7 linked regions of the Oryctolagus cuniculus genome follow. The protein of the gene in region 7 interacts with the protein of the main gene of each other region in a pairwise test. Links are inferred from orthologs where the notes say so. Each region holds a gene or a part of one and is shown on either strand. Other genes may lie near its edges.

Region 1 (3,266 bases), on a different chromosome or scaffold from region 7:
ACAACTTGGGATCTTGGGAAGGCATGATTAACTCAGGCCCACATGGCTAGCTTCAAGGGGTAGGGGAGCCTTTTTTATAACATCATTCATGGTCATACAAAAGTCAACTTAAAAATTAGCTGGCTGTAGATTTATTGAATTGCAGCTCCCCCTGCGGTTGCCTTGTCAGGGCCAGACCACATGATTTTGTGGGCCTTATACTGCCCATGAGCCGGGCCTTCCCCACTCCTGCTTCAGAGGAACAAACATCTGACTCATTTCTTCATTAACGCAGGCCAAGGGGGTCCACGACCACCCAAGACCAGAGAGTAAGTCGGAGACGGAAGCTAGAAGAAGTGCCATTAAGAGACATATGGCTTCTTTCTTCCAGCCCCAGAAGAAGAGAATTCGAGACCCTGAGGTACTGGGGAGCTGGCCCAGCACTGTGCTCTGTGTCCATTTCCATAGCAGGATACACTGATAATTAATTGAAATATGAATCTCATACAGTAATTACAAAGTTACGATCTTATGTGAAAATTATCTATCTCTGACAAAACATAGTGTCGACATTGGGACAGAATCTCTAAATTTTCACTTGTTTTATTTATTTGGAAGGCAGACACCCAGAATGCTTGCAATGGCCAGGGTTATGTCAGGCCAAAAACAGAAACTGAGAATTCAACTGGCATTTCCCATGGGAGTGGCAGGAACCCAACTACTTAAGCCATCACCTGCTATCTACCAGGGGGAGCATTAGCAGAAAGATGGAATCAGGGAGTTTAGCTGGGACTCAAACCCAGGTACTCAGGTATGACACGTGGGCATCTTAAACAGCAACTTAACTGCTGTGCCAAAGCCCATCTCTGGAGAACGATTCTAATCCCTCCTTAAAAAAAAAAAAAAAAAAAACACCTTAAGGACAACAATATAGTTAGGGTGTGTGCTGACATCCAAATACATGATCCAGTTAGTGACAAAGGGATACCATAGACTCCTTGACCATGGGAGAGACACTTCAAGACCACCAATGGATGCCTCAAACTTCAGGTCACACGGAGCCCTCTATGTACTGTATGTATGTATGTATGTATGTATATATATTCATAGCTATATATATTCATATCTATAATAGAGCTTAATAGAATAATTATAATAATATGTGTTAATAAAGCTCACAAATTATTTCTGGAATTTTCCACTTAATTTTTTTGAACAGTAGTTGACTGTAGATGATTAAGGGAGGATTATGGCAGGTGCATCCTTGGGAGAATGCTTTATGTTGCTTACACAGGACCAGATAAAATTTCTTGGGGAAGTTTGATCCAGTTTGACCTTTCGACTGGAGCTTGTCAAGCAGGCAAAGTGTTAGTGTGAGCAGAATAGAAACTGACCTTATTCCAGCACTTCCTCTGTGCCACGTACTGATCTAAGAGTGTCATACATCTGATGGTTACAGAAACCCTATGATCAGGTTGCTGTTATTAAGTCCCATGCTTGAAATGAGAAGTCCAAGGCTCAGAGAGGTTGGATTAGCTCAATTAGTGAGGGGCAGAATAAGGACTTGAACCCAGGACTGTGTGGCTCCTGAGTCTGCCCTCTTATGCAGACAATATGGATGAGAACAGGGTCATTTGCTTCTCCAACCCAAATGCCTGGCTGCCAGGGACCTTCCGTGTTCACTGTGTGATACTCAGGCCTGAGTCAGCTCAAGCTTATCTATCCCTAGACCATGGGCCCAAATCCTGTACCTGAGCAGTTCTGTCCACACCACTGGGAAGTTGGGTTTTATTTATGTGATTGGCTACTGTTACAGGAGGGATGTGCAAACAATTTATATATTGTATGTCTGTATCATTTTTTTAGGCAGGAGAGAATCAAGACAGACGTGGAGATTTCAACACACCACCCCTGGAAAATCCAGAACTGCTCGACACAATTGCTGACCCCAGCTTCCCTATTTCAGCTCAGACTTGCCCCTCCTTCCCAAACTCTGAGGCTTACAAAGCCACCTGTGACCTTGCCACCTTTCAAGGAGACATAATGCCACCCTTTCACAAGTACCCAACCCCAAGAATCTATTTGTCCAGGCCAACTTGTAGGTATGAATTGGCAGGCCCTGGTTACACAAATTCGAACCTATATCCTACCTTGTATACAGATTCCACCAGTGTCCCTAATGAAACAGAGTGGGTTCATCTGAACACACTTCAGTATGATGTCAATTCCTACAATAGCCATGAGAGAGGCTATGACTTTACCAATAAACAGCATGGCTGGAGACCAGCTCTTGGGAGACCTGACCTTGGGGAAAGAATTGACCATGGAGAGTTCCAGGCCATGGCCACTAGGCCTTATTATAACCCAGAGGTTCCCTGCAGGCATCTCACATCCCCCCCAGCAGGTGCTCCAGCCCTGCAGACCGTCATCACCACCACCACCAAAGTGTCCTACCAGGCCTTCCAGCCCCCTGCTCTGGCTTACAGTGACCATGTGCTAGAGCACTCCAGCCTTTCCAGCTGCAGCTATGTTTCTGAAAATGCTCTGATGTCCGTCCATCCAGAACCCTTGGACCCCCCAGCCAGCACCAACAGAGCGGACTCTCCTCTGACACTTCCAGGAGACTGCCGGGCCATCAGACCCACACTGGACTTCCCTCAGCAGGAGGCTCCCTCGAGAACAGACGGAGCAGACACTTGGGACGTGTGCTTGTCTGGGCTGGGCTCTGCAATGAGTTACTCGGATAGGGCGGTCCCATTATTGAGCTATGACAATGAGGACTTCTGAAAGACAATCCAGGATGCACCCAATATTGACTGGTGAACCGGCAGGCAATAGAACATGAAATGACACCTATCTTACTCTTCTTATACATAAAGAAATAGAGATTTCTTTAGCAGTCAGGATGCTGATGAGCAGAGGCAATGGCCAGCTGGGATGCTGAGATGGCACAGGGAAAGTTTGCACAGCATTTTGAGACCAGCTATGGGTGCACAGAAGTAGCTTGGGAAGGTGAGAATCTCCAAAATGAGCCAATCAGCCAACCGGAGCCCACAAAGGCTGAACACTGGCCCAAGTGCACTGAGCTTGCTGGCTGCAGCATTAGTCAGGGATCCCAGTTCTGGTTCGAAGCCAGCCTTTTCTCCACTCGACTTTATAAGGGAATTTCACCCCTCTCTATTTGGCTGTTAGAGACTATCTAAAGAACTCCAGGAAGAAATTTGCAAAATCTTATCCCCTGAGTCATTTCATAAAATTTTATTTAGCATGTAGAACCTGTTAAAATA
Region 2 (3,975 bases), about 29 Mb from region 7:
TGGACCCCTGTGGACCCCGGCCAGCAGGTGAGACTCCACGTGGGGAGGAGTGGGGGGTACCCTCGGGGCGAGGATGGGTTCCAGGGGAGGTTCATTTCCTGGGGCTGCCAGGAAAAGCTGCTACAGAGAAATCACACACGGGGCCAGTGTTCTGGCGCAGGCGCTTATAAGACCCCACCTGCGACGCTGCCATCCCATGTGGGTGCCGGTTCGAGTCCCAGCTGCTCCACTTCCTGTCCAGCTCCCTGCTAACATGCCTGGGAAAGCAGCTGAGGATGGCCCAAGTGCTTGGCCCCACACTGTGTGGGAGACCCAGAAGGAGCTCCAGGCTCTGTTTCCACTTGGCCAAGCCCCGGCAGGCACAGCCATCTGAGTTGTGAACCAGCCAATGGAAGTGCTCTCTCTCTCATTTATTTGAAAGAGAATCTCTTGGCCGGCGCCGTGGCTCACTAGGCTAATCCTCCGCCTGCGGCGCTAGCACACCGGGTTCTCGTCCCGGTTGGGGCGCTGGATTCTGTCCCGGTTGCCCCTCTTCCAGGCATGTGGCCCAGGAGTGCAGTGGAGGATGGCCCAGGTCCTTGGGCCTTGCACCCCATGGGAGACCAGGAGAAGCACCTGGCTCCTGGCTTCGGATCGGCGCAGCGCACCTGCTGCAACGTGCCGGCCATGGTGGCCACTTCGGGGGTGAACCAATGGAAAAAGGAAGACCTTTCTCTCTGTCTCTCTCTCTCACTGTCTAACTCTGCCTGTCAGAAAAAATAATAAATAAATAAATAAATAAAAGCACTCTTGGTGTGAGCGTTTGGCCTAGTGGTTAGGACCCGATGGAGCTCCAGGCTCCTGGCTTCAGACATTTGAAGACTGAACCAGTGGACGGAGGACCTCTCGGGGTCACCCTGGAGGGTCATGAGGACAACAGAAGAACCAGGTGAGGGTCAGAGGTCATGACCCCAGCAGTGGGGGTGCACCCAAGGGTTAGAGACCCCTGCCCAGTCCACCTAAAACCCGCAGGGCTCTGCTGGATCACGGTTGCCAGGTAACCATTGCTGGGAGACAGTTGCCAGGTCGCCACTGTTGTGTCCAGCAGAGGGCTCTCACGACCTCGCCAGGCAGGTAAGAGGGACAGGCCGGCCGCCAGTCTGCACCTGCGCTCCTGCGCCCCCCTCGGCCACCAGACCTGGGCCCCTGCCTGAAGCAGAAGGCCGGCGGGGGAGGGGAGTGGACAGGGAGGGGGTGGGGCGGCTGGGCTGGGCACTCTCAGGACCACCTGCCTCCTGTCTCCCTGAAGTCCGCGGGCCCCGTGTCTCTCGCAGTCCCTGGCCAGAAGGCGCCGGCTTCCATGCACGGCAGCTCCTCAGAGCCCGCGGCAGTGTGCGGGCAGAGGCTGATCCGTGCGCGGTCTCTGGTCACTTGTTCCCAGGTCTGGGAATACTTCGCGTGTCCCTTCCCAGGGGGCGGCCTCCTGCCCGCCCGTCTCACCAGGTAAAAACCTAGAGTTTGCCCCGCCGGCTGGGCAGCAGGTCCACGGCGCCCCCCGCAGGGCCAGGCCTCGCCCCCGCGAACCACACCGGGTGGTTTCAGGCTGGCGTGGCCTCCGGGGCAGCGGCGCCTGGGGCTCCTGACCCTTGGGCCCCTGCGTCCTCCGCCTGGTGGCGCTGCTCACAGTGCGTACAGGAAGTAGCCATGCAGTCCACTCAGGAACCTGGCGTGCGAGCGACGGAAGAGCCGAGGCTGCCTGGGGCTCCTCCGGCCGCGGCCAGCGCGAACCTAGGCCTCCAGAGCCCTCACCCCTGGACCCTCCTCCTCCCGCCTGCCTATTGCAGGCGCCTGCCGAAGCCCCAGATCTGCACCTGCAGGCGGGGCTCAGCCCCAGCACGGAGGCCCTCCCGAGGCCCCGCTCCCGCTCCGCCCCTCCCGCGACGTCGCCTCTCGAAGCCCCGCCCACCCCTCCCGCGGCCTCCCCCCACCTCGGCTGCCCCCACCAGGTGCACAATTCCAGGGTTCTGACCAGGACCCTCCTGCGGCCTCCCTCCGGCCACACCTCGCGACACCCCCACAGTGCTCGCAGGCCCCTGGGCGGGGCTGGAACTGGGCCCTTCCTGTCCCGGGGGGCCCCTTTGCACAACCTCCTGGACAGGACCCTGCTGGTTACTCCTCACTGTTCCCGTGTTCACAGTGCCCAGCTGGAGCCTGGGGGAGCAGCCCTGCCCGCACCCTCCCAGCTCACCCCTCCATCAGCATCCATGACGCCCACCTCCGCCCATCTTCCTCCACACCTCTCTGTGTGTGTCCCTGCATATCAGGGCAGGTCCACTTGTGTCCGTGCCTGTGTCTCTGTGTGCTTGTGTCTGAGTGTCTGTCCAAGCGTGTCTACGCATACGTGTCTGTACACGTCTGTGAGTGCCCGTGTGTCCACATGTGCCTGTGTCCCTGTGTGCCCCCGCATGTGTCCAGCTGTGTCCGTGTCATTCTGCGGCTCCCACTTGGAACTCCTCCCTAAGAAGCCTGGGCTCTGGGCACTGCTCAGCGGCGTCTTGGGGGTCCCAGCGCCCCAGAAGGACTCTTCGGAGCAGGGTGCTGGGGGGGTCTAACTGATCTGCTGCCCCATCGTCAGGCCCTGCAGGCCAGGTCCAGCGTCCACACCCGGCCCTCCTGTGTGGGGAGCTCCTAGCTTCTGCCCGCGCCCCCACCCTGCCCTGGGTGCCTGCCAGCCTCGGTTCTGGCTGCTCCAGGCCTGGCCCCATCCTCCCAGTGCCTGGAGCCGGGCAGCTCCTTCGCTGCCACTCTGGGGCAGAGGCCACGGGCACCTGCATCACCGCCATTGGGCAGGCATCCGCTGGCTGCCCAGGGATTCACTCGGGAGCAGCACCCAGGCCCCTCCCAGCCGCCCCAGCATCCCCACTGCTTGCTTTCTTTCAGACCTGCAGAAAGTCCTCTCCCCCAGCAGGCCACCCATGGACTCGCAGGCCAGGAAGTGGCCACAGGTTCCCTGACATGCTGCAAAGGTGGCACCTGGGGACCAGATCCAGGGGTCGGGCCGTGGGGCCAGGCAGCCACAGGGACGGCAGTAGCAGGCGGGGTGCCGCTCAGGATGCCCCGGTCCTCCAACCCCTGACCACGGCCTCCTTGCAGCCGACAGCCAGACCGCGCTCCTCAAGGCCAGATGGACGGGCCGGGCAAGGCAGGGCTCGCCCCGCAGAGATCCGACTCGGAGGGCACCGCGGCAGCACGGGCCGCCCGGCCCCACAGCCACCGTGGGGTTGGGAGCCGGCCCCGGGGGGAGGCCCCCACCCAGCCCCCTGGGAGACGCCTTTCCCCTGGCAGGGGGGGCCCCACGTTGCGCCCTGTCCAGAGGCTGGTCCCGCGGGCTGCCCAGAGATCCCGCAGGAGAGTGGGGGTCCCGTCTTCCCAGCGGGGCTCTCGGCCCGGTGCCCCCAAGCCAGCCGGCCGCAGCCACACCCGGTTCATCCACTGCCGGAGACCGTCCACGCGGGCCCAGCTCAGCGCCAAGAGGAAGAGGCGGTCCAGGCTGTGCCGGTGCCGGGCCAGGGCACCAGGTGACCGCTAGGCAGCCTCATGGCCAAGGGCCTCCCAGTCAGTCCCGGGAGGGCCCCCACCCCACCCCATGCCACCCCACAGCCCCAGCCTGACAGCGGCCTTTGGGTCACTCATGACATCATCATGGACATTGTGACCCCGGCCCTCCAGGCAGGCCCCGGCGCTGTGTGTGCCCCCACTCCGCCTCACTCCCCAGCCCTGCCTGCTCCTGTCACTATCACCCTCAGGCTCTGGTCAGTTGCAAGCCGCAATGAGGCAGGGGCTGGGGTGAGAGCCCGGTGCAGCTGGTCGTGGGCTGGGCTTGGCCCGACAGACGGGTGCCCCCCACCCACCAGATCCGCCCCTGCACAGGCTGGGCCCCTGGGAGACGGATGGGCAGCGGCCGAGACAAGGGGCTCCTGCCCACGCAGGGCCAAG
Region 3 (4,055 bases), on a different chromosome or scaffold from region 7:
GGCCTCCAAGCCCCTTCGGGTTTCTGGTGCCTGCCTGTTGGCCCTGGCTCCCTCTCATCTCCCCAGGCAGGGACTCTGTGTGCAACCCTCCTCCAAAGAAGGCCTCCCCTGTAGGGTCGGGGCTCCAGCCTCCCACACAGGGCAGGGTCGGGACACAACACCCCAGCCTCACGGTATGGCCACCCAGGCACACGAGGGCACCGGGCCGTTCATTCGCCAGCCCTGGGCAGGCACTGGCAATGAAGTCTCGCCCCAGGGGACCCAGGCCAGCCCCTCCCCCGAGGTCCTGGTGAACCTGAGTTCTGCCCCCAGGCTGGGCAGGGGGTGCTGAAGCAGAGGGCCTGAGAGAGGGCTATGCACCTGTCTCTACCTCCCGCGCAGCAGTGTCCAACGGGGTGCAGAGGTCCATGAGCTTTCCTGGGGCGTCTGAAACTCAGCAGATGCAGCAGCACACACAGCAGAAGCCTGTGGACGCTGTGGCCCACACAGGGTCCACCCCAGGGTTCCTCTCTCCCAGCCCTGCAGGATGGCTGCGTCAGGGAGGGGGCAGGGCCTTGGGGCACCTGCAGGCCGCTGCCCACCACGCTCTGCCTCATCTATGCCCAAGCCTGAGGGGCCGGGCCCCTCGCCCCAGACCTGACACCAGCCACCGAGGAACACCCATCCCGGGGCTAAAAGAGGCAGGTCCAGTGGCCAGGGACCCCAGCCAAGCCCTGGTGCCCTGGCAGGGGCCAGCTGGTCTGCAGCCTGCTGGCCAGTGGGCCCGAGTGGGGGGGCGGGAGCGCCGTGGCCTTCCTGCTGCACCTGCCCTGGCTCCGTCCGTGCGTGCAGGACTCGGGGCAGCGCCCAAAGCCCCTCGCGGGCCTCAGTTCGCCCCCACGTTCCACAGGCAGCACAACTGGTCCCCGCCTGGGAGTCCCCACGGCGGAGGCGACGGAGCTCCGAGCCCTGGCGCGAGACGCGAGACGCGAGACCCCGGACCCCGGACCCCGGACCCCGGACCCCGGCTGCCGCCCCCTCCCCGGCGCCGCGCGTGGCAGGAATACCGCGAGAGTTCGCCCCCTCCCCCCCGCCGTAAAACTGTCAAAGGTGGGAGGGGCGGAGCGCGCATGTGCGCAGCGCGGCGTGCAGCCTGCGCCGCCCGGACCCCGCGCCCCGCGCCCCCGGCCCGGCCCGGCCCGGCCCCGGCCCTGCTGGGCGCCGCAGGTCAGCGCCGGCCGCCCCCGCCTCGCCCGGCGCGGCCGCCACCCCCGCCCCGCGCCCCGCGCCGTCCCCGCCGCCGCTGCCGCCGCGCCCGGACCCCGCGCGCGCCCCGCGCCCCGCGCCGGCGCCGTCTTCCCGCCTCCTCCTCTTCGGAAAAAGTCGCCATTTTGGTTCACTGCCTTCGCCCCCCCCGCGCCGCCAGCGGCCCTTCCGGGCCAGGCCGAGGCCCGCGCCCGCGCAGGTGACAGGTGGGTGGCGAGGCCGGGCCCGGCGCGCGAGCGCAGCCGCCCTCCCCGCAGGGTCCCCGCGGGGTCCCCGCGGCCCCGCCGGGCCGGCGCCCGGCCGTGGCCGCCCCTTGCCGTCCTGGCGCCGAGGCCCGGGCGGAGGGCGGGTCTCTGCCTCCCGCGCCAAGCCGGCCCCGGGCTTGGGGGGCACTGGGGGGCACGGCCGCATCGGCGCCGCTGTCCGCGGAGGGTCGTCAGGGACGCGAGGACCCGGGCCGGCGCTGTCTGCCTTCCGCGTGCCAAGTGGGGACTTGGGAGAACTTTCCTGGCGTGAGGACCCTCCCAACGCCCAGGCCCAGGCCGCCGGCACCCCTGGGCCCTGAGCAGCGGCTATCCTGCCTTGGGGCCTCGGCCTTCGCTGACCTTAGCAGCCCCCTCCCCTCCTGTCCCGCCCGACTTAGGTAGACGCTGTTAGGGGAGGGGTCCGCTCTTCACCCAGCCCTGCGCCTGCTCCAGGGTGACCCCGTGGAGGAATGGCAGGGCCGGGACAGGAAAGCCTCTTGCTAGTGGCCGCGAGGGGAGGTCAGCTGGTGGTAGCCCAGGTCTGGCTGGAGACCATGTTGCCCTGGGTGCTGCCAGAGGGGGTGTGAGTGTCCAGGGACCCTCTCAGCTTCCTTGGTTGCCTTCCGCCTGTGCCTGGGCTGCTGGCGGGGCGGGTGGGTGTTTCCTGGGTCTGGGGGCCCCGTGGGTGCTGGGCAGGGCAGCCGAAGGCATGGTCGGCCCCCAGCCTCCTCCTCCCTTTTGCGCACCCTGGCCAGCTGGGGACGAGGGTGACCCTGGACGCCTGTGGCAGGTACGGGAGAGGGGGAGGCTGTCAGAGCTGGCGAGGGTCTTGGGACAGGACTGGGTCCTGCTGCACAGAGGGTGCCTCCTGGTCCCCCTGCCACACGCTTCCTTCCTTGGCCAGGCCTGGGGCGCAGCGGGCCTCATGGCACGTCTGCCTGCTGTCCCTTGCAGAGATGACCGATCCCTTCTGTGTCGGAAGCAGCCGCCGGCTCCAGGGCCCCGGCAGGAGTGGGCCGGGGAAGGAAGGCGGCAGGAAGGAGGTCCGGCTGCCCGTGCTGCACGACGCGCCGAAGCTGGGTGAGGGTCACGGCCACCAGAAGGGCCCCTGCCCTCGGGTGGGAGCTGTGTTCACGTGGGTCCTTGTCCAGGGCTGGCCACAGCCTTCGCCCCAGTGCCTTGCTGCTGTGGGTGCGAGGCCCCCGAGGCGCCAGACACGGCTGCGCGGTGCCCTAGCCTGCGTGTGCCCTGTGCTGCAGGGATGCCGGTAGCTCGCGGTGGACAGACGGTGCCTGGCCAGGCCCCACTCTGCTTTGACCCCGGAAGTCCAGCCAGCGACAGGACGGAAGGGAAGAAAAAGGGGCGGCCGAAAGCTGAGAACCAGGCCCTCCGAGACATCCCTGTGAGCTCCCTGAGGCCCAGACTGGGCGTGTGCCCTGCCCATGGAGGCCCCTGCCCCAGGGTGTGGCCAGCCCCTCGCGCACACACACACACACACACACACGCGTCATGAGGTCCCAGTAGCCCTCAGAGTGGGCCTGGTCATGGCCACTGCTTGGGGTGCTGAATTCTCCCTGTGGTTGGTGTGCCCCCAAGTCCTATAGGCCCCCTGTGTCCTGTAGGCAGGGCCCCCGTGTCCTGTAGGCCTGGCCCCCCGTGTCCTGTAGGCCTGGGCAGGGCCCCTCGTGTCCTGTAGGCCCGGGCAGGGCTCTGAGCCCAAGTCTTGGGTTGGCAGAGGCCTGGGCCGTGGAGGGTCGGCAGCCTGACCTCTCCCCACACCCAGCTCTCCCTGATGAACCAGTGGAAAGATGAATTCAAGGCACACTCCAGGGTGAAGTGCCCAAACTCGGGGTGCTGGCTGGAGTTCCCCAGCATCTACGGGCTCAAGTACCATTACCAGCGGTGCCAGGGGGTAAGGGCCCCTGGGTTGGGAAGAGGTGGCCTGGGATGTGTGTGGGCCCTGGGCCCCGTCCCACACCTGCCCTCCCTGCCCAGGGCGCCGTCTCAGACAGGCTGGCGTTCCCTTGCCCCTTCTGTGAAGCCGCGTTCACGTCCAAGACCCAGCTGGAGAAGCACCGGATTTGGAACCACATGGACCGACCCCTGCCTGCCCCCAAGCCTGGGCCGGTCAGCCGTCCGGTTACCATCAGCCGGCCCATTGGGGTCAGCAGGCCCGTCACGGTCAGCAGGCCCGTGCCTGTTGGCAAACCTGTGCCAGTCGCCAGGCCTGTGCCAGTCGGCAAGCCCATCACGGTCAGCAGGCCCCTGCCGGTCAGCAGGCCCGTCGTGGTCAGCAAGCCAGTGACCGTCAGCAGACACACACCGCCCTGCAAGATGGCGCTGCTGACCCAGTCTGAGAACCAAGCGCCTCGCGCCAGTGGGCGGAGCAGCGGTAAGAGAAGGTACGGGCTCTCCGTGGGTGGGGCGCTCCTCGGCCGCAGCCTGGGGGGACGAGGCCCACCCTGCAGGTCCTCCTGGCCCTCAGCTCGCTGTGCCCCGCAGGGCTGCCGATGGCCTGGACGCCTGCCCCATCCCACCCAAGCAGGCGAAGCCTGAGAACGGGCA
Region 4 (3,500 bases), on a different chromosome or scaffold from region 7:
TGTGGCAGCTTCTAGTCAATTTGTCAGAATTAGAGTTAAATAATCAATTACAGGGGCCAGCATTGTGGTACAGAGTTAAGCCACTGCTTTTGATACTGAAACCCCATGTTAAAGTGTTGGTTTGAGTCTTGATTGCTTTGCTTCTGATCTATCTCCTTGCTAATGTGTCTGGGAAGGCAGTGGAAGATGGCTCAAGTCCTTGGGTTCCTGCCACCTACCATGTGAGAGACCAGGATGGAGTTCCTGGCTCTTGCATTTAGCCTGGCCAAGACCTGACTGTTACAGCTATTTGGGGTGTGAACCAATGGATGGAAGTTCTATCTTTCTCCCGCCCCTGCCTCTCTCTCTCTCTTTCCCCCTCTCTCTGTTGCTCTGCCTTTTGAATAAATAAATAAATAATAAATAAATAATAAATCTTTTACAAAATAACCAATTATAGGGTTGTTTATATAATATTGCCCTGTCTATTCTGGAATTGTGGTTTGAAAACAAATTTCAGAAATCAGGAGTAGTAGATTGGGAGGATGGGACTCCATGAAACTCAGGGTGTGCCTAAGAAATGAGCAGTCCTTAGAGCTGGAGATGAGTGGAGGTCGCCAGGGCTGCCTTGGAATCCTTCATGGAAGAGGGGGCCAAAATTACAGACAAGTACATTTGTGAAGTGCCTACTTACGGACCAAACAATTCCTACATACTTCTGAGAGAACATGAAATCTCACAACCAGAGTGGTCAGGTGGCCCTAGCTTGTTTTGGGAGTTAGGAGGTGTGAACACCCCTTGTGAGAGACTGACATTATCTAATGCTGACATCGTGACTTGACATCTTTAGGACTTAGATCTCTCACCCACAAACACTCAATTCTCTCTCCAAGACTCTCACAAAATTACCAAGGGGACAATATTCCAAAATGTGTGTGTTTTCTGACACCGTTACTCATGCTTTCCCATCTGTTTTAGAGCTCTTAAATGACAAGTGATTTTAAAGATAAATGAAGCAGGGGAACAATATATACAAGAAATACACAGAAGAGGGTTAATTCCTTAATAGATCAAGAGCTCTTATACATTAATAAGACAAATTTTAACATCCTAATTGAAAACTGCAAAGGACATATGGTTTAATGAAGAAATAAAAATGACCTATAACTATAAAAAGGGACTGAACCTCTCTAATAATAAAAAGGCTAATTAAAATAGTAAGATTTATCCATGTCTATAAAGTTAACAGAGACAACATGTTAGCATCCAATCGGATACAAGTGAGGGTGCAAAAGGACTGTTGGTGAGGGTCCAAATTAATACAAGCTTTCTGAAAATCAACACCATCAATAATTTCTCAAAAATGACATTTATATATCATTTGATCTGTTCCTTCTACCTCCAGGAAACTAAAGAAATGATCAGATATGAGGCCAAGAACTGAAGTGTAATAATACTCATTGTAAGATTATTAAAGTGACAAATTGGAAACATAAGTCAGAGATCATTTTAATGAATTTGATACATGAACATGATAGAAGATTATTAGGTTATTAAATATTTTGACATATAGTTATGAAAATATGTCAATGTATTTTATATTAATAGATACATAATTTATATATTAGTGTCTTATTTTATATTAATTTTATTAACATGACATCAATATTAAGTGAAATCAGGAAGTTACCAACCCACATATATAGAATTATCCTTATGCTAAATACAAGAAATATGTAAATAGAAAAATTATAGAAAGAAAATACTGAAGTAATGTAGGCTATTGTGGGATGCTTAGGTATTTTGTGGAATATTTTCCATTTTACATATTTTCTACAGGAAGAATTCACTATTTTTTTTTTATTATTATTAGTGAGGGAGACTGAATGGGAGAGAGAGACAGACAGAGCTCCCATCTGTTGTTTCACTCCTCAAATGCCTGCAATGGCCACAGCAGGGCCTGTGACAGTCAGGAGCTTGGAACTCCATTCAGGTCTCCCAAATGGGTGGCAGGGATCCATCTACGTGAGCTATCACCTGCCTCTCAGGGCCTGCATGGGCAGGAAGCTGGAATCGGGAGCAGACTAGGAACTGAACCCAGGCACTCTAATGCAGAACATGGAATAAGCATCTTAATCAACATCTTAACCACTAGACCAAACACCTACCCTCATTCTTTTTATAGTTAAGAACATAAAATATGTTAAAGTTCCTGTACAGCGATAGTCCATTGGTAAACTGACCTCTGTTTATTAGAAAAATTGGTAGGAAAACTTAGCTACACACTGCGTGCATGATATCATAACAGTGTAAAATGTACATATACCCCTGTAGACAGTGTAGCATGAGGCTTTGGGATCTGCTAGACTGGGATTCAAATTCCAGGTGTGCAATAAACCTACTGTTCCACCCTGGGCTAGTCATTCACCTGCCTGAACACAGGTTTCCTCTTATCTGAAGCAGTGATCAAGTATTTCCACCTCCTATGGTTGCTGTGGCTGATGTGCATGAAGTACTCCATAACGGGAACAGCCAAACATCATGGAAAAAGATGAGAAGGGAAGATGATGCAATTTTTATCTTAATGCTTTCAGTGGTTTTCTAAAGTCCTAAAATGTACATGTATAATTTTTTAAAATGGGAAATAAACGTTACATAGGCGAGAAAGGGTGAGCCAGACACATCACTCACCTCGTTAAAAAGCAGCTCTCGCCTTTGTTGCTTCCGGAGGTCCATCTTCTTCACCGCAACTTGTTTCCCTGTGTGTTTCTCAGTGGCGATGCACACAATGCCCGTCGACCCTTCCCCAATTTTGATAAAGTTGTCCAGGTACTCCCTGGGGTCCCCTGGGCTGACCACCAGCTGCAGGGCAGCCCGAAACTGTTCGTGGGACACCCTGGAGGGCTGCTGGTCTGAGGAGGAGCCCCAGCTGGGAGGAGGGTAGGTGCTGGATGAGATGCTGAGAGAACTCAGGTAAGAGGCGGTGGAGATGTACTGCGAGCTGGTCTGCAGGGAAGGGTGGTGGTATAGGGAGGCTTTTTGGTACCCAGATGGGTACTGGTGGCTGCTGGAGGAATAGCCCCCTTTGCTTTGACTTTGAGGTAGTTTGGCGGGGCCCCTGGGGTAGGTGTCGGACCCTGACAGTGGTGGGCTGAGGACCATCTGTGCTCGATCATAGTCCACCTGGGAAGACAGGGACAGAGACCATTCGCATGTTAGAACTGAACAGCAGCACACCCCTCAGGTTAGTGAGCCAACTTACAGCTGGCAGAATGAAGACCATCAGAAGTGATGGAGGGAGATGCCAGGTATTGAGTGCTGAGTAAATCTGGACAGTTGTCTTCTCGTACTGCTGTGCACCCAAGGTGTATTTTCTGCTTAAGCCTTATTTTCTTATTCTGAAATGAAAGATCCCATCTCCTGTTAAAGGATGTTGTCTTCAGCTAGCATTCTGGGCCGAAATTTCAGGGGTAGGAAGCCCCTTCCCTTGCTTCTGAAGTCACATATTCAAGGGTGGAATG
Region 5 (4,119 bases), on a different chromosome or scaffold from region 7:
TGAGGAGAACACAAATACTCCCTGAGTGTGCGGGAAGGCCTTGTGCTTTTCTCAAGGCAGGGGTCAACTCATTCCTTCCTGTGCAGGCCATACGCACTGCATGAGGGGGGTGGGGGCAGTGAAATGGAAACGCGAGCAAACATCATGTGCTCTGGGCCCTGACCCGTTCAGTCCTGCTGAGGAGAGAAACACCACAGCGCGGGAGAGGCCAGCGAGGGGACAGGGCGCTGCTGCCCGCCTCGCAGCCTCACTGCCCCAGGTCACACCGGAGAGGGGCTCCGCCTCAGCCGCACCACCACTGCCTTTCCTATCTGCTCATCTCACAGATGGATTGGATATTTAAGGCGCACTGGGTCCGGGGGTGGCTCCCAGCCGTTTCAAAAGCAACACCCTTTCTTCCCAAAGTCCATCAAGTGGTAGCAGTTGTGGTGCAGTGGGTAAAGCTGCACTTAGGACGCCTGCATCCCTTATTAGAACCGCGGCACTGAGTCCGGCTCCTCCACTTCCCATCCAGCATCCCGCCAGTGCGTCTGGAAAGCAGACCAAGGCCCAAGCACTTGAATTTCTGCCACCCACGTAGGAGACCTGGGTGGAAATCCTGGCTCCTGGTTCCAGCATGGCCCATCACCAGCTGTTGCGGGCACTTGGGGAGTGAACCAGAGGATGGAAGCTCTCTCTGTCTCTCCTCTGCCTTTCAAACAAACAAACAAATCTAAAAAAAAAAGTCCATTAGAGATCCAACCAAGACCAACACAATGTCCTTGTTATCTCACCTCTCCAGACTTGTTCCAAAGTGTTCAGTGGCATTTATTTTAAAAAAGGAAAGTGAACTAAAGTTCATTTTAACTCAGATGGAAGTCCTTGCTGTATGACTGGCCTTGGCTGGCAGGTCTTGCCCCTGGGTCTGCTGAGACAGTCATGGTTTAAGGACCAGGATAGCATCTTAGAGAGGCCTTGTAGATCTGTGGTGCATGTAAATTCAGAGTTCCCAAAGCCTATGTTTCTGCAATTTTCATGAGAAGAGATGAGCTGGGACAAAGGGCCAGAGACAGCATGCTAAAGGCCTAGCACAGGGGCTGGCGCTGTGGAGAAGCCGCTAAAGCCACCGCCTGAGATGCCAGCATCCCATATGGGTGCCAGTTAGAGTCCTGGCTGTTCCACTTCTGATCCAGCTCCCTGCCTACGTGCTTGGGAAAACAGCAGAAGATGGCCCAAGTGCTTGGGCCCTTGCACCCATGTGGGAGACCAGGAAGAAGTTCCTGGCTACTGGCTTCAGCCTGGCCCAGACCTGGTCATGGCAGCCATTTGGGGAGTGAACCAGCGGGTAGAAGATCTCTTTCTCTCTGTAGCTCTGCCTTTCAAATAAATAAAATAAATCATAAAAAAAAAAAACAAAACTTTAAACATCCATTCATTTACTTAACTTGGGAACTGGCCTTTTGCTTTTTCTATATTATCTCATTCACAAATCTTCGCTCTTAACCCGTACTTCCCATCCTCTTCCTCAACATAAATCACTCCACAATCTACCCAGCTGCTCAGAGACCAAGGAGTCCCTGCAGGCTTCCTCCACATATCCAGTGCACCGGCAGCTCTGGATCTCAAGTCCACTCATTTCCTCCAAGTTCAGGGCCACCACCATCTTGGCTAAACCATCTCTCAACATATGACAGCTTCCCATCTGGTTACCTCATTTCTACCAAAACTCCCTTAGTTACATAAACACAATAGTTTCTCAGAATGTGAAACTGGGGGCCAGTGTTGTGTCCAAGTGGGTAAAGCTGCCATCTGCAATGCCTGCATCCTATATGGGTGCCATCCGGCCGCTCCACTTCTGATCCAGCTCCCTGCTCATGGCCTAGGAAAGCAGTGAAGGATGGTCCAGGTATTTGGGCCCCTGTCACCCAGGCTCCTGGCTTCAGCCTGGCTCAGCCCTGGCCATTGTGGCCATGTGTGGAGTGAACCAGTGGATGGAAGATCTTGCTCTCTGTTAACTCTTTCAAAATAAGTAAAAATAAATCCTTAACAAATATGTAAAGCTGGATCAAGTCATTCTCTGGTTCCTACAGGTCTCGGCCTTTTAGGTCTTTAGGTGTTATCAGCTGCTAGGGCCTTCCTGACCAATGTAAAACACACACACACACACACAAACACGTTCTTAGCACCGATCACAATTTACAACTGTCATATATATGTATGCTTATTTACCGGCTAGATAAATAAAAAATGAAAACTAGAAAGGGCCATCGGGAGGGTGGAGACCATGTCTTCACGTTTTCCGCTGGTACTTCGAACACCCACCGGTGTCCGGCACCAAATTAGATCTCAACATGTTGAATGAACAGATGAACGTTCTGAAGTCCAACGTGTCAATATTACTGCTCCTTCTTACACATGAAGGGATCCACGCAAGCCCAGCGAGGCAATGCGGCGTGCCCACGTCACCAACAGCCAGAGAAGCGAGAAATCCACACGCAGGGGAGGGCCGAATGCTCCCCAGATACTCCCCAAGCCCGCGGCTCCGCCCAAGATACGGCACGTGACCGGCCACCGCCGCCACTCCAACCGGGCGTGCCACAGAACTCCCCAATCCCGCACCCAGGGACCTCCGCGGGGGCTGGCTGCCACCTCCCGGGTCCCCTGCCAGATCTCTCCGCAACGACTACATTGTCCCATTACCGGCCGCCCGCGTCCTCAGGGCCAGCGCCGCCGACGCCATGTTTGCCTTACAATCGCTTCCGGTCTCGAAAGGCTGCTTCCGCTACCGGGAGATCTACTTCCGGGTCCGGTGCGGCGGTTGAATGAGTGGCGCGAGGAGGTACAGGTGAGCGTCCGGGGTGTCGGACTTCACCGGCCAAGGCTGTCTTCCAGAGCGCCGCTGCGCGGGAGCTTGGTGGCCAGGGCGTCGGGGTCCTCCGCCCTGACGGCTGACCTGGGAGGCGCGGAGCGTGCCGGGCAGGGGTCTGCTTCTCCGAGTGGCTCATTTTGCAGGAGTCAACCGAGATCCCGCTGCGGGACACGGATGAGACCCCCTCCCTTGTCTTTAAAGTGCCAGACACCGTCCTAAGCGCGGTAATGCGTTAATTCTCACGGCCTTACAAAGGCGGTATTGCTATCCCTGTTGTACCAAGGGAGAAACAGGCCGAGGATTAGCTGGCTCACCCAGGGTCAGTAAGTTTTTGTTCGAGAAAGGAGGCTTGCATATGACCCAGCTAGTCCAGTCCTCAGTTTATATGCAAGAGAATTGAAAATATGCCCACATAAAAACTTGTACCTCGATGTTCATAACCGCGTTATTCATAGTGACCAAAAATAGAAACAAACCAAACGCCCCTTAAGTGATGCATAAGCAAAATGTGGTAGAGCCACACGTTGGAATATTCAGCCATGAAAAGCAATAAAGTACTGGCCCATACTGCGACACAGATGAAACTCCCAAACATAAAAGGGAAAGAGCCACATAGTGTGTGATTCCTCTGGATATGCAGTATCCAGCATGGGCAGACCCATAGAGCCATGGTAAATCTGTGGTTGCCAGGGGCTGGGGGGAGGAGGATGGACGATGATAGCTTAATGACTTCTGAAGTCATAGAAATGTTCTGGCATTAGCAGTGGTAGTTGCACAACACTAAATATATTAAAACTGTTGGGCTGTACACTTAAAAAGATGAATTTTTTTGAAAGATTTATTTATTTGAGAAGTACAGTCACAGAGAGGCAGAAGCAGAGAGAAGTCTTCCATCTGTTGGTTCACTCCCTAAATGGCTGCAAAAGCCGGAGACAGGTTGATCTGAAGCCAGGAGCCTGGAGCTTCTTCTGGGTCTCCCATGCAGGACTTGGGCCATCCTCTGCTGCTTTCCCAGGCCATAGGAGAGAGCTGGATCGGAAGTGGAGCAGCTGGGACTCCAACCAGCACCCACATGGGATGCTGACACTGCAGACAGCAGCTTAAACTGCTAGGCCACAGCACCATTTCAAATGGAGAGGTCTAGAGGGTGGTGATGAGTGTTGTTACTATCCAGTGAAAATTATAATATTATCCCTGCTTTTTAAGATTTATTTATTTATTTGAAAGGCAGAGTTACAGAGAGGCAGAGAGAGAGAGAGAGAGAGAGGTCC
Region 6 (3,500 bases), on a different chromosome or scaffold from region 7:
TAGGGTGGTGGGAGATGAGGGTGGGCAGTAAGGTAGAGGCCAGGTCCAGGAGAGTTTACAAATCATTCTAGGAGATCGAGTGTTATCTGGGATATTTGTAAGCTGGGGAACAAAATGATCCCGTTTTCATTTAGACAGTTTGGCCATACTATGGTGGTTGAAGTAGAAATGGTGGGAGAGAAAGCAGGGAGCTTGCACAGTAGGCTGTCACATGATCTAGGGCCTAAACTAAAGGGGACAGAACAACTCATGAGGTGGAGGAGGCCACACCTGGTGAATGAGTGACAGACTCTGGACTGTGAGAGAGGGTTTCCAGGATGACATCCAAGAGTCTGATTTGGTGAGAAGGGAATAGTGGTACCATTCTAGAAAGTGGGAGGTAGACGAGGAAAAGCAGTGAGTGGGGGCAGAGAAGATGTTGACTTCTCAGCAAATGTTTTAGGATTGGGTTGGGATGGAAAACACAAGCCTCATTCCAAGCCAAGGACTCCAACAATATGTATTTGTTTTCCTTCCAGAAGAGACTTTGGGCCTCACAAAGTGGTACCAGTGAAGGTCCACCAGCCCGAACAGTTCATCCCCAGTGAAGAGAATATGGATTTGCTCACAACATACAAACAAGATTACAACCCCTACCCTGTCTGTCGAGTGGACCCCATTAAACCTCGGGATAATAAATACCCGTGTGGTGACAAGATGGAGTGTCTGCCTACTTATAAAGGTGGGAGAACGCTTGAGAAGTGGGCTGGGGAAAGGATAGGCTGAATTGTAGACAGATCAGGAAGTATGTTTTGTATGTTCTCTTGGTGCAGGGGTCAGCAAACTCCTTCATGAAAGCCAAATCCAGCCAACAGATTGCTTTTATATGGGTCGAGAGCTAAGCATGGTTTTAAAATTTTCAAATGTTTGCCAAAAAATATATATTACTTTAAGACATGTGAAAATTACATGGAATTCAAAGTTCAGTGTTTACAAGTACATTTTATTGGAATACAGTGCATGTTATCGCTGGCAAAACTGAGTAGTTTGACAAAGACCCTATGGTCTGTAAGGCTATAGGTACTTAGTATCTAGCCTTTTACAGAAAATATTTTCTGACCCCTGCCTTAGTTCACTGTTTGAATCATATGCATTGGGGAAGTACTTCAAGTTTTAGGTGAGCTAGATTCTACTGATTCAATGACTGATTCACGCATTCACTTAGAACAATATTGAAATGTAATATACAGGAATGTATATAAATCATAGTGGTACAGGCCAATGAATTTTGGCTGAATACACCCTTATAAATAGCACCCAGATCAAGAAAATAGCATCACTACTCCCTTTCAGCCACCTTTCTCAACTGGAATATAACCATAATGCTGATTTTTAATACTTCAAAATAATTTTGCCAGTTTTGTAACATATTTTAAGTGAATTGACATAGTTTTACTTTTGACATCATTATACTTATTTATGTGTTATAATGTGTTATTTTCATACATGTGTATGTTATATTTTGTTCAAATCATGGCCCACATTTACCTCCTCAAATATTTGTTATTGCTTTGTCATGAAACATTCAAAATCTGTTTTTGAAAATTTAAAAAAATTGCATAATTATTTTTCGTTGATTATCTATTACATACCAGGCATGTGCCTAGGAACTGTGAACTGTCCTAGGCCCTCTAGTCCAGTGGGAGAGAAGGGCAGTGGAGTCCTATGGTTGGGCTACCAGTATAACAGCAGATACCCCTGAGAGCCTGGCCCCAAGATGGAGATCAGAGAATGGAGGCCAAGCTTGTCATCTGTAATGCCTCTGTTTATGATGCACACTGTTGCTCTAGGAAGACAAGTTTCAACAGTTAATTTATGTGAAACATCGGTGTACCTCTGAATGATCTTGGTGGACCTCTATCATAAGGGTTATGTTTAGTTAAGCATTTACTAATGAGGTAGGCTGGCAGCAGAGGTGGCGAAGGCTGGAGACATGTGGGAAATTTTGCTTGGAGGAGTTCTGAGCCTACCATTCTGGTGGGCCCTGCTCATATTGGAGATTCAGGGCTGTTACTAGTATAGACCTCTATGGCAATCTCCACTCTGGCCTTTTACTTTCTTACCCTAGTGTGCTCCTCTCCTAGTCATCCATAGCCACCTTCTGAAAGACAACCCTCTGGACATTCTACCCTGAAATTATCCCACCTCTGAAGACTTTGTGTACCCCAACATCCGGTCCCTCTGACTTAGTCTCTGATCTGCTTCCATCACAACAGTTCTTGGCCTTGTTGTATCCCCTAATCTGTTGGTGCCCAACCTTCTCTCCTGTGCCTGTTCTTTCCATGTAGCCTATTCCATGTTAGATCATTGCAGCTCATCTGTCACTAATGCCCTAAACTCCCTCTACCTTCCATACTTTTGTTGTTTCCCGCTGGCCAAGTCCTAGTCTTGCCTTCTTGAAGTGTACTCCTTGACATACACTTGAGCATATCTACAATCTTATCAACTAATCTTCTGTGCTTGAAACTCCTCAAATAAGCATTGTAGTATTTAGGATCAAATCCCAATCCTTACTAACTTCTAAAGCCTTGTAGGTTCTGGATTCTCCATCCCGAGCTCCTCTGCTCCAGCCTTAGGGCCTCCATTCAGTTCCCTTCCTCCATATCTTTTCTGCTTCAGGATTTTTAGCGTTGGGATTCCTTCTGCATAGATCTCTCCTGCTTTCTGTGTGTCACTTGTCCTTTAGCTAGCAGCCAAAACATCACATCGGCAGAGGCCTTCCAGGATCTCCCCTCAAGCCAGTTCAGGTGCTTAGAGCACCGTTAGAGCACCTTATCGATCCTGGAAGGACTATCCCCTGTCATCATCATTGAATAATTTGTTTTGCTTAACATTTATCTCACTGGTCAGACTATCAGCCTCAAGGGGTCAAGGATCTTCCATTCCCCAGCCCCAAGCCAATTAAATTGTCTATACTTGTGGAAACCACACACCCTTTAACCTCTATGAAATGTTGGCTTCCAAAATTGTGCCCTAATGGAAAGCCAAGACACTCTGGCGAAAAAAAAAAAAAAAAAAAAAAAAAAAAAAAAAAAAAAGAGAGAGAGAGAGAGACCTAAATGAAAGATCTCTGCAAGTGAGATCCCAGTGGAAAGAACGGGGCCATCAAAGAAGGAGGTACCTTTCTCTGAAGGGAGGAGAGAACTTCCACTTTGACTATGACCCTGTCGGAAAAAGATTGAAGTCGGCGAACCCAAAAGGCTTCCATAGCCTTGGCAACTCATGACTAGAGCCTAAGGAGATTACTGATGCCATAAACAAGAGTGTCAAATTGTTAAGTCAACAACAGGAGTCACTGTGTACTTACTGCTCATGTGGGATCTGTCCTTAATGTGTTGTCCAATGTGAAGTAATGCTATAACTAGTACTGAAACAGTATTTTACACTTTGTGTTTCTGTATGGGTGCAAACTGATGAAATCTTTACTTAATAAATACTAAATCAATCTTCTGTATATAAAG
Region 7 (4,227 bases):
GCTCAGAGTTGTGGGCTAAAGCCCTCTGAAGGTCAAGGCCTTATGGAGAACCTCTCTTCGCCCCACGTTTCCAGAGAACACCTTGGTCCTCGCTGAAAGAGCCTTGACAACAGAGTCGAAAACACTCCCTCCTCCAAAAGGAATTAAGGCCTCCTTCACACCTCCTGGGGGTAAGCTGGGGCGGGGGAGCCGGAGAATGGGCCCTGGCTGCCAGGGCTCTGCACCCCTCACCCGAGACAGACTGCTGCAGGCTCCCGCTGCTCGCTGGCGGCTCGCGGGGTGTGGGCCGGGGGCAGCGAGAAGACAGAGCGCTGCGGGAGGGGGCGGGGCAGGTCCCCACTGCCCCGCAGTCGGGCCAGCCAGGTTGGGGGCCGCGGGAGGGGGCTGGGCGGCTCGAGGCGGAGAGGGAGGTGGGGGCGGGGTCTGACCCCCCCTTCGGGCCGGGGGCCGGGGGCGGGGTCCGGGCGGGGCGGGCCCGCGCGCACTTCCTCGCCGGGGCTGGGGCCGCGCGCCCACTCGCCCACACGGTCCGTGTGCAGCCGGCAGCTCGCGCCGCCCGGCTCGGCGCGGCCCGCAGGTAGGAGGCGCCGAGGGACGCGGCTCCTGGTTCCCGGCCCCACCCGCTCCGCGCGCGTCCGGCTCCCGCCGCCAGCTGCGAGGTGAGCGCCCCGCCGACCCCGGCTCCGAACCGCAGCTGCCGGCCCCCGCCCCGGGCATGCTGCGCCCCGGAGAGCGCCCGCCGGGGCCGGACCGCTCCCCCGGCCGCCTGGAGAGGCGGGGGCCAATGCGAGTGTTGGACGGGGGAGGGGACCAAGTTTGAAATAGAAAAGCCAGAGAGACAGAGACAGACCGGGAGGGTTGGAGGAACGGAGGCTCCGGGGAAGCCCAGTGGGGCGCAGGACCGGAGGCTACGGAGATCGCTGAAGCGAGGACAGAAACTGGACGTGAACAATTACGAGGGCCTTGCGGGGAGCCCTGGAGCTTCGGCTTCGCCTCTCGCTCAGTCCGTTTGTGTGAGGGCTACAGAGCCCTTCAGAGACATGAGGCAGAGATTGCTAACGGACGGGACAGGAGAGGGGCGAGGGTCCTTTAAGAGTCACCAAAGACTTGGGTGCACACAGTTGGAAGCCCAAAGGGTTGAGGACCCCGCGGGGGAACAGCATTCGGAGGCACAGAGACCCCAGAGGAGCACAAAGACAGCCCCCAAACCCAGGATGGAGTGGAGCCCAGCTCAGCACACACAGGGACCTGAGCTGGCTGAGACCCTGAGACACCCGGACGGGTGCCCTGGGGAAAGGAACTGAACCCAGCCCTCCCCCATAAGGCAGGGGACCCGGGCCGGTGAGATCGAGAACGAGAAGGAGCCCCACGCACTGACACGGCTGCCAGGACAGCCCCAGCTTATTTTTAAACTCAGATCTTGGGCGGGCAGCTTCAGCCGTAGGGACCTCAGGGTGAATGAACTGTTCCTGGCCCGGCCAGGCCGGTCCCAGAGCTGCTTCGGGATCCTGCTCCCCACCCCCTTGCCCCTACACTGCTTTAACTTCCCAGGCCAGATGGGAAGAGGAGGAGAGAGAGCAGTGAAGTTGGAGTTGGTAGCGGCTGGGGGGGGGGGGGAGCACCTTGATTTCTCTCCTTAAGTCTCCTGTCAACTCCTGGGGGGGGTGCTGTTCTGAGCCTGACTCACAGCTGTGGGGGTTGGCCAGGGTCCTCCTGCACAGTGGGGAAGGGGGGGGGGGGCAAAAGGGCTGAGCAGTTGGCACGGGTATTTGGAAAGGCCGCTGGGTGTCTTCCAGTGGCAGGGCTGGCAGCTGGGGAGAAGAGCCAGGCTCTGGTACAGCTCCTGTTGCTCTGCCCTTAAAAGCTGAACCACCTCCTCCAGCACCACCATGGCACTTCTAGGGAGAGGGAATGAGGAGGGGCTCCGGGACGTGGACTCTGATCCCAGATGGACCTTGGGCACACTCCTGCCCTGTCCTTGGTGTGCTCAGCTGTAAAATGGGGACGAGATTCCGCACTGCCGGCCTTCCAGGAGCTGCGCTGGAGGGTGATCTAGGGGCACTTTGTGAGGGGCAGAGCAGCAGGCAGGTGTCGCCAGCCAGGGGCCGAGTTCTGCTCCCTGGAGTCAGGCTGGCGGCGCTGCAGCCACCACTGGACCCACGGCTGTCCTCAGCCAGCCCCATGGGCCGTGGGGCCACCTGACCTCCCCATGGCCTTGTGCACGAATGTCCAGGTCACGGACGTTCCTGAGAAACTGCCGTCTGATTTCAGCCAAAGTCAAATAGCTGCCCATACTGAGTTCTGCCCATCTGCCAGGTGCTGTCCGAGGACCGGCACCCTGGGAGGTAGGAAGGGGCATGAGCTTAGTGAATTAGAAGAGAAAACCAGGCCTGGGAGCTTGAGTAACTCACCTAAGGTCATGCAGCCAGTGAGGAGCCAGTGTGCAAACCCAGGAGGTGCTGTGTGTGTGTCTGGGTCAGGTGGAGGGGTGTGTGTATTGTTGGGAGCAGAGGCTGAGAGCCATCTGGCAGGTGAAGCAGTCTCCCCAGTCCCTGCCCCCTCTCCCCGCCACCGGTCAGGAAGCATACAGGACTGGCTCTCTACAAGTCCTTTCGGTCCCCCAAGCCTTGCCAGAGAAGGACAGGCAGAGACAGGTGGGTCTTGCTGGTGTCCTTCCCTCTGCCCTCCCTCCCCAGGGCCCAGCCGGATAGATTCAGGGATTGGGGGAGTCTGGGAAGGAAACAGAAGCCACTCCCATACCCTATTTGGGGTGCCCCGTCTCAGAGTGGTGACTGCCTCCCAGGGGGCGGACCCGGGGCTAGCCAGGGCCTGGGAAGGTAGCCGCTACTGCTGCCACTGCTGGCCCAGCCAGGAAGGAAGGAAAAGGCCCCAGGCACTCCTGGAGGGACACATGGCCACTTTCCACCTGCGGGGCCCCCTGCTGCCCAGTGGCTGCCAGCCCAGGCAATCCTCAGGAGGAAACCCGAGCCTGAGTGGCCGGCAGGGGACTGAAGGAGGGCTGCCCTCCACCCTGGAGCATAACTCCGATCCCAGGAGTCCGTGCTCTGAATACCCCAGCTCCTGTCGGCCTCACACCGTGGCCTGAGGTACGAACTCGGTGTCCTCCCATGGTGTAGAAGGGAAGTCCGGAACACGGAAGCCAGCCCATCGGAGGAGTCAGGCCCTCCAGCCCTGGGGCATCTGCTGGCGCCTGGAGTCAGAGCTCCAGGCCAGAGCAGTGCTTGCTGGCGAGAATTTCCCACTGGGGCTGGCTGGGACAGGAGGGCTTTTCCTTCAGCTTGAGCCAGGGCAGGCTCTGGGGTCTGGTGGAGGGGAGTGGGGTGGTGGGTTCCTTTGTGTCTCTTGAACTTCCCCAGGCTCATCCGCAGCTGAAAGAGCATCTGTCCCCTTCCCAGGGGTCCTGGTGGTTCTTCCCTGGCACCCTGGGACCTTAGCCCTTAGAGAGCAGACTTCCTGGTGGAGGAGGCCAGGGGTGGGAAGCTCTAATCTGGGTTCTGGAGACAGGAATCACGAGCCACAGAAGGGGCTGGGAACCCCACTTCCCTACACCCTGCTCCCCACACTCCTGTTCCAGAGGCAGCTGTGTGGATGACCTCATCCCACAAACATGCTTTGTTCCTGAGAAAATGGAAAGTGTCTGAGGTTTGCTGGGGGCTGGGTGTCTGCAGCAGCGGCTCTCAGGGCTCCCCCTGGTCTTCCTCCGCACCTACGAGGGGCCCTGCCTGGGGAGAGTGGCTCCAGGGGCGCTGGGTCTCTCACCCTTCATGCCCGCCTGCCCCAACCCCGAGAAATCCAAGAAAGTGGGGCGAGGCTACCCCCACCGGAGTCAGGAGGAACGAAATCGGGACCCAGAAGAAGGGAAGCTCCTGGGGCTGTGCTGGTGCCCAGCAGGAGGTGGCAGAGGCCACACTGCTCTCTGTCCCTGGGGACCCGCAGCCGCCGCAGGCATAGCTTTTTCCTTTTTTCTCCCCTGTCGCTGGCAAATCTGACATCTGGCCATCTGTGTTGCCACAGCTGCTGCAGATGTTGCAGCCAAGGCTGCCCAGGCTGGTGTGACCAGAGACACAGCGGGGTGGAGGGGAAGGAGGGCAGAGGGCCCAGCCGGGGAAGCTCGGCCGTGTCCAACGTGCAGGATTTCCTTCCTGCTCCAGCCCAGCCTGAGCCTCTCCAGCTCTGGCTGCTCTGCTGATTCTCCTGGGACGGGAG

Evidence for each region.
Region 1: the proteins of FHL3 (region 7) and GCM2 interact in binary tests that used the Homo sapiens proteins (3 or more experiments, as listed by UniProt). The link is inferred for Oryctolagus cuniculus from reciprocal best matches to the Homo sapiens genes FHL3 and GCM2.
Region 2: the proteins of FHL3 (region 7) and TTLL10 interact in binary tests that used the Homo sapiens proteins (3 or more experiments, as listed by UniProt). The two-hybrid records come from large-scale screens. The link is inferred for Oryctolagus cuniculus from reciprocal best matches to the Homo sapiens genes FHL3 and TTLL10.
Region 3: the proteins of FHL3 (region 7) and ZNF512B interact in binary tests that used the Homo sapiens proteins (3 or more experiments, as listed by UniProt). The two-hybrid records come from large-scale screens. The link is inferred for Oryctolagus cuniculus from reciprocal best matches to the Homo sapiens genes FHL3 and ZNF512B.
Region 4: the proteins of FHL3 (region 7) and PAK5 interact in a two-hybrid assay, tested with the Homo sapiens proteins (2 studies listed by BioGRID and IntAct). The two-hybrid records come from large-scale screens. The link is inferred for Oryctolagus cuniculus from reciprocal best matches to the Homo sapiens genes FHL3 and PAK5.
Region 5: the proteins of FHL3 (region 7) and MRPL27 interact in binary tests that used the Homo sapiens proteins (3 or more experiments, as listed by UniProt). The two-hybrid records come from large-scale screens. The link is inferred for Oryctolagus cuniculus from reciprocal best matches to the Homo sapiens genes FHL3 and MRPL27.
Region 6: the proteins of FHL3 (region 7) and SAXO1 interact in binary tests that used the Homo sapiens proteins (3 or more experiments, as listed by UniProt). The two-hybrid records come from large-scale screens. The link is inferred for Oryctolagus cuniculus from reciprocal best matches to the Homo sapiens genes FHL3 and SAXO1.

Annotation. Positions count from the first base shown.
Region 1 is NC_091436.1:159,776,830-159,780,095, forward strand, and holds the end of GCM2 (chorion-specific transcription factor GCMb), read left to right. Parts: intron 1-274; coding exon 275-400; intron 401-1,845; coding exon 1,846-2,766; downstream 2,767-3,266. UniProt on the Homo sapiens protein: Transcription factor that binds specific sequences on gene promoters and activate their transcription. Through the regulation of gene transcription, may play a role in parathyroid gland development.
Region 2 is NC_091438.1:164,277,950-164,281,924, reverse strand, and holds the start of TTLL10 (inactive polyglycylase TTLL10), read left to right. Parts: upstream 1-1,175; 5' UTR 1,176-1,339; coding exon 1,340-1,482; intron 1,483-2,919; exon of another isoform or gene 2,920-2,994; coding exon of another isoform or gene 2,995-3,005; intron 3,006-3,132; coding exon 3,133-3,557; intron 3,558-3,630; exon of another isoform or gene 3,631-3,825; intron 3,826-3,909; coding exon 3,910-3,975. UniProt on the Homo sapiens protein: Inactive polyglycylase.
Region 3 is NC_091442.1:208,714-212,768, forward strand, and holds the start of ZNF512B (zinc finger protein 512B), read left to right. Parts: upstream 1-1,255; 5' UTR 1,256-1,451; intron 1,452-2,444; 5' UTR 2,445-2,446; coding exon 2,447-2,570; intron 2,571-2,749; coding exon 2,750-2,892; intron 2,893-3,225; coding exon 3,226-3,402; intron 3,403-3,485; coding exon 3,486-3,892; intron 3,893-3,992; coding exon 3,993-4,055. UniProt on the Homo sapiens protein: Involved in transcriptional regulation by repressing gene expression. Associates with the nucleosome remodeling and histone deacetylase (NuRD) complex, which promotes transcriptional repression by histone deacetylation and nucleosome remodeling.
Region 4 is NC_091442.1:34,493,238-34,496,737, forward strand, and holds part of PAK5 (serine/threonine-protein kinase PAK 5), read right to left. Parts: intron 3,163-3,500; coding exon 2,671-3,162; exon of another isoform or gene 2,440-2,670; intron 1-2,439.
Region 5 is NC_091448.1:26,292,418-26,296,536, forward strand, and holds the start of MRPL27 (large ribosomal subunit protein bL27m), read right to left. Parts: upstream 2,801-4,119; 5' UTR 2,720-2,800; coding exon 2,680-2,719; exon of another isoform or gene 2,397-2,679; coding exon of another isoform or gene 2,393-2,396; intron 1-2,392.
Region 6 is NC_091432.1:181,871,670-181,875,169, reverse strand, and holds part of SAXO1 (stabilizer of axonemal microtubules 1), read left to right. Parts: intron 1-518; coding exon 519-721; intron 722-3,500. UniProt on the Homo sapiens protein: May play a role in the regulation of cilium length. Stabilizes microtubules at low temperature.
Region 7 is NC_091438.1:134,803,313-134,807,539, forward strand, and holds the start of FHL3 (four and a half LIM domains protein 3), read left to right. Parts: upstream 1-1,427; 5' UTR 1,428-2,209; coding exon 2,210-2,654; intron 2,655-2,766; exon of another isoform or gene 2,767-3,107; intron 3,108-4,227. UniProt on the Homo sapiens protein: Recruited by SOX15 to FOXK1 promoters where it acts as a transcriptional coactivator of FOXK1.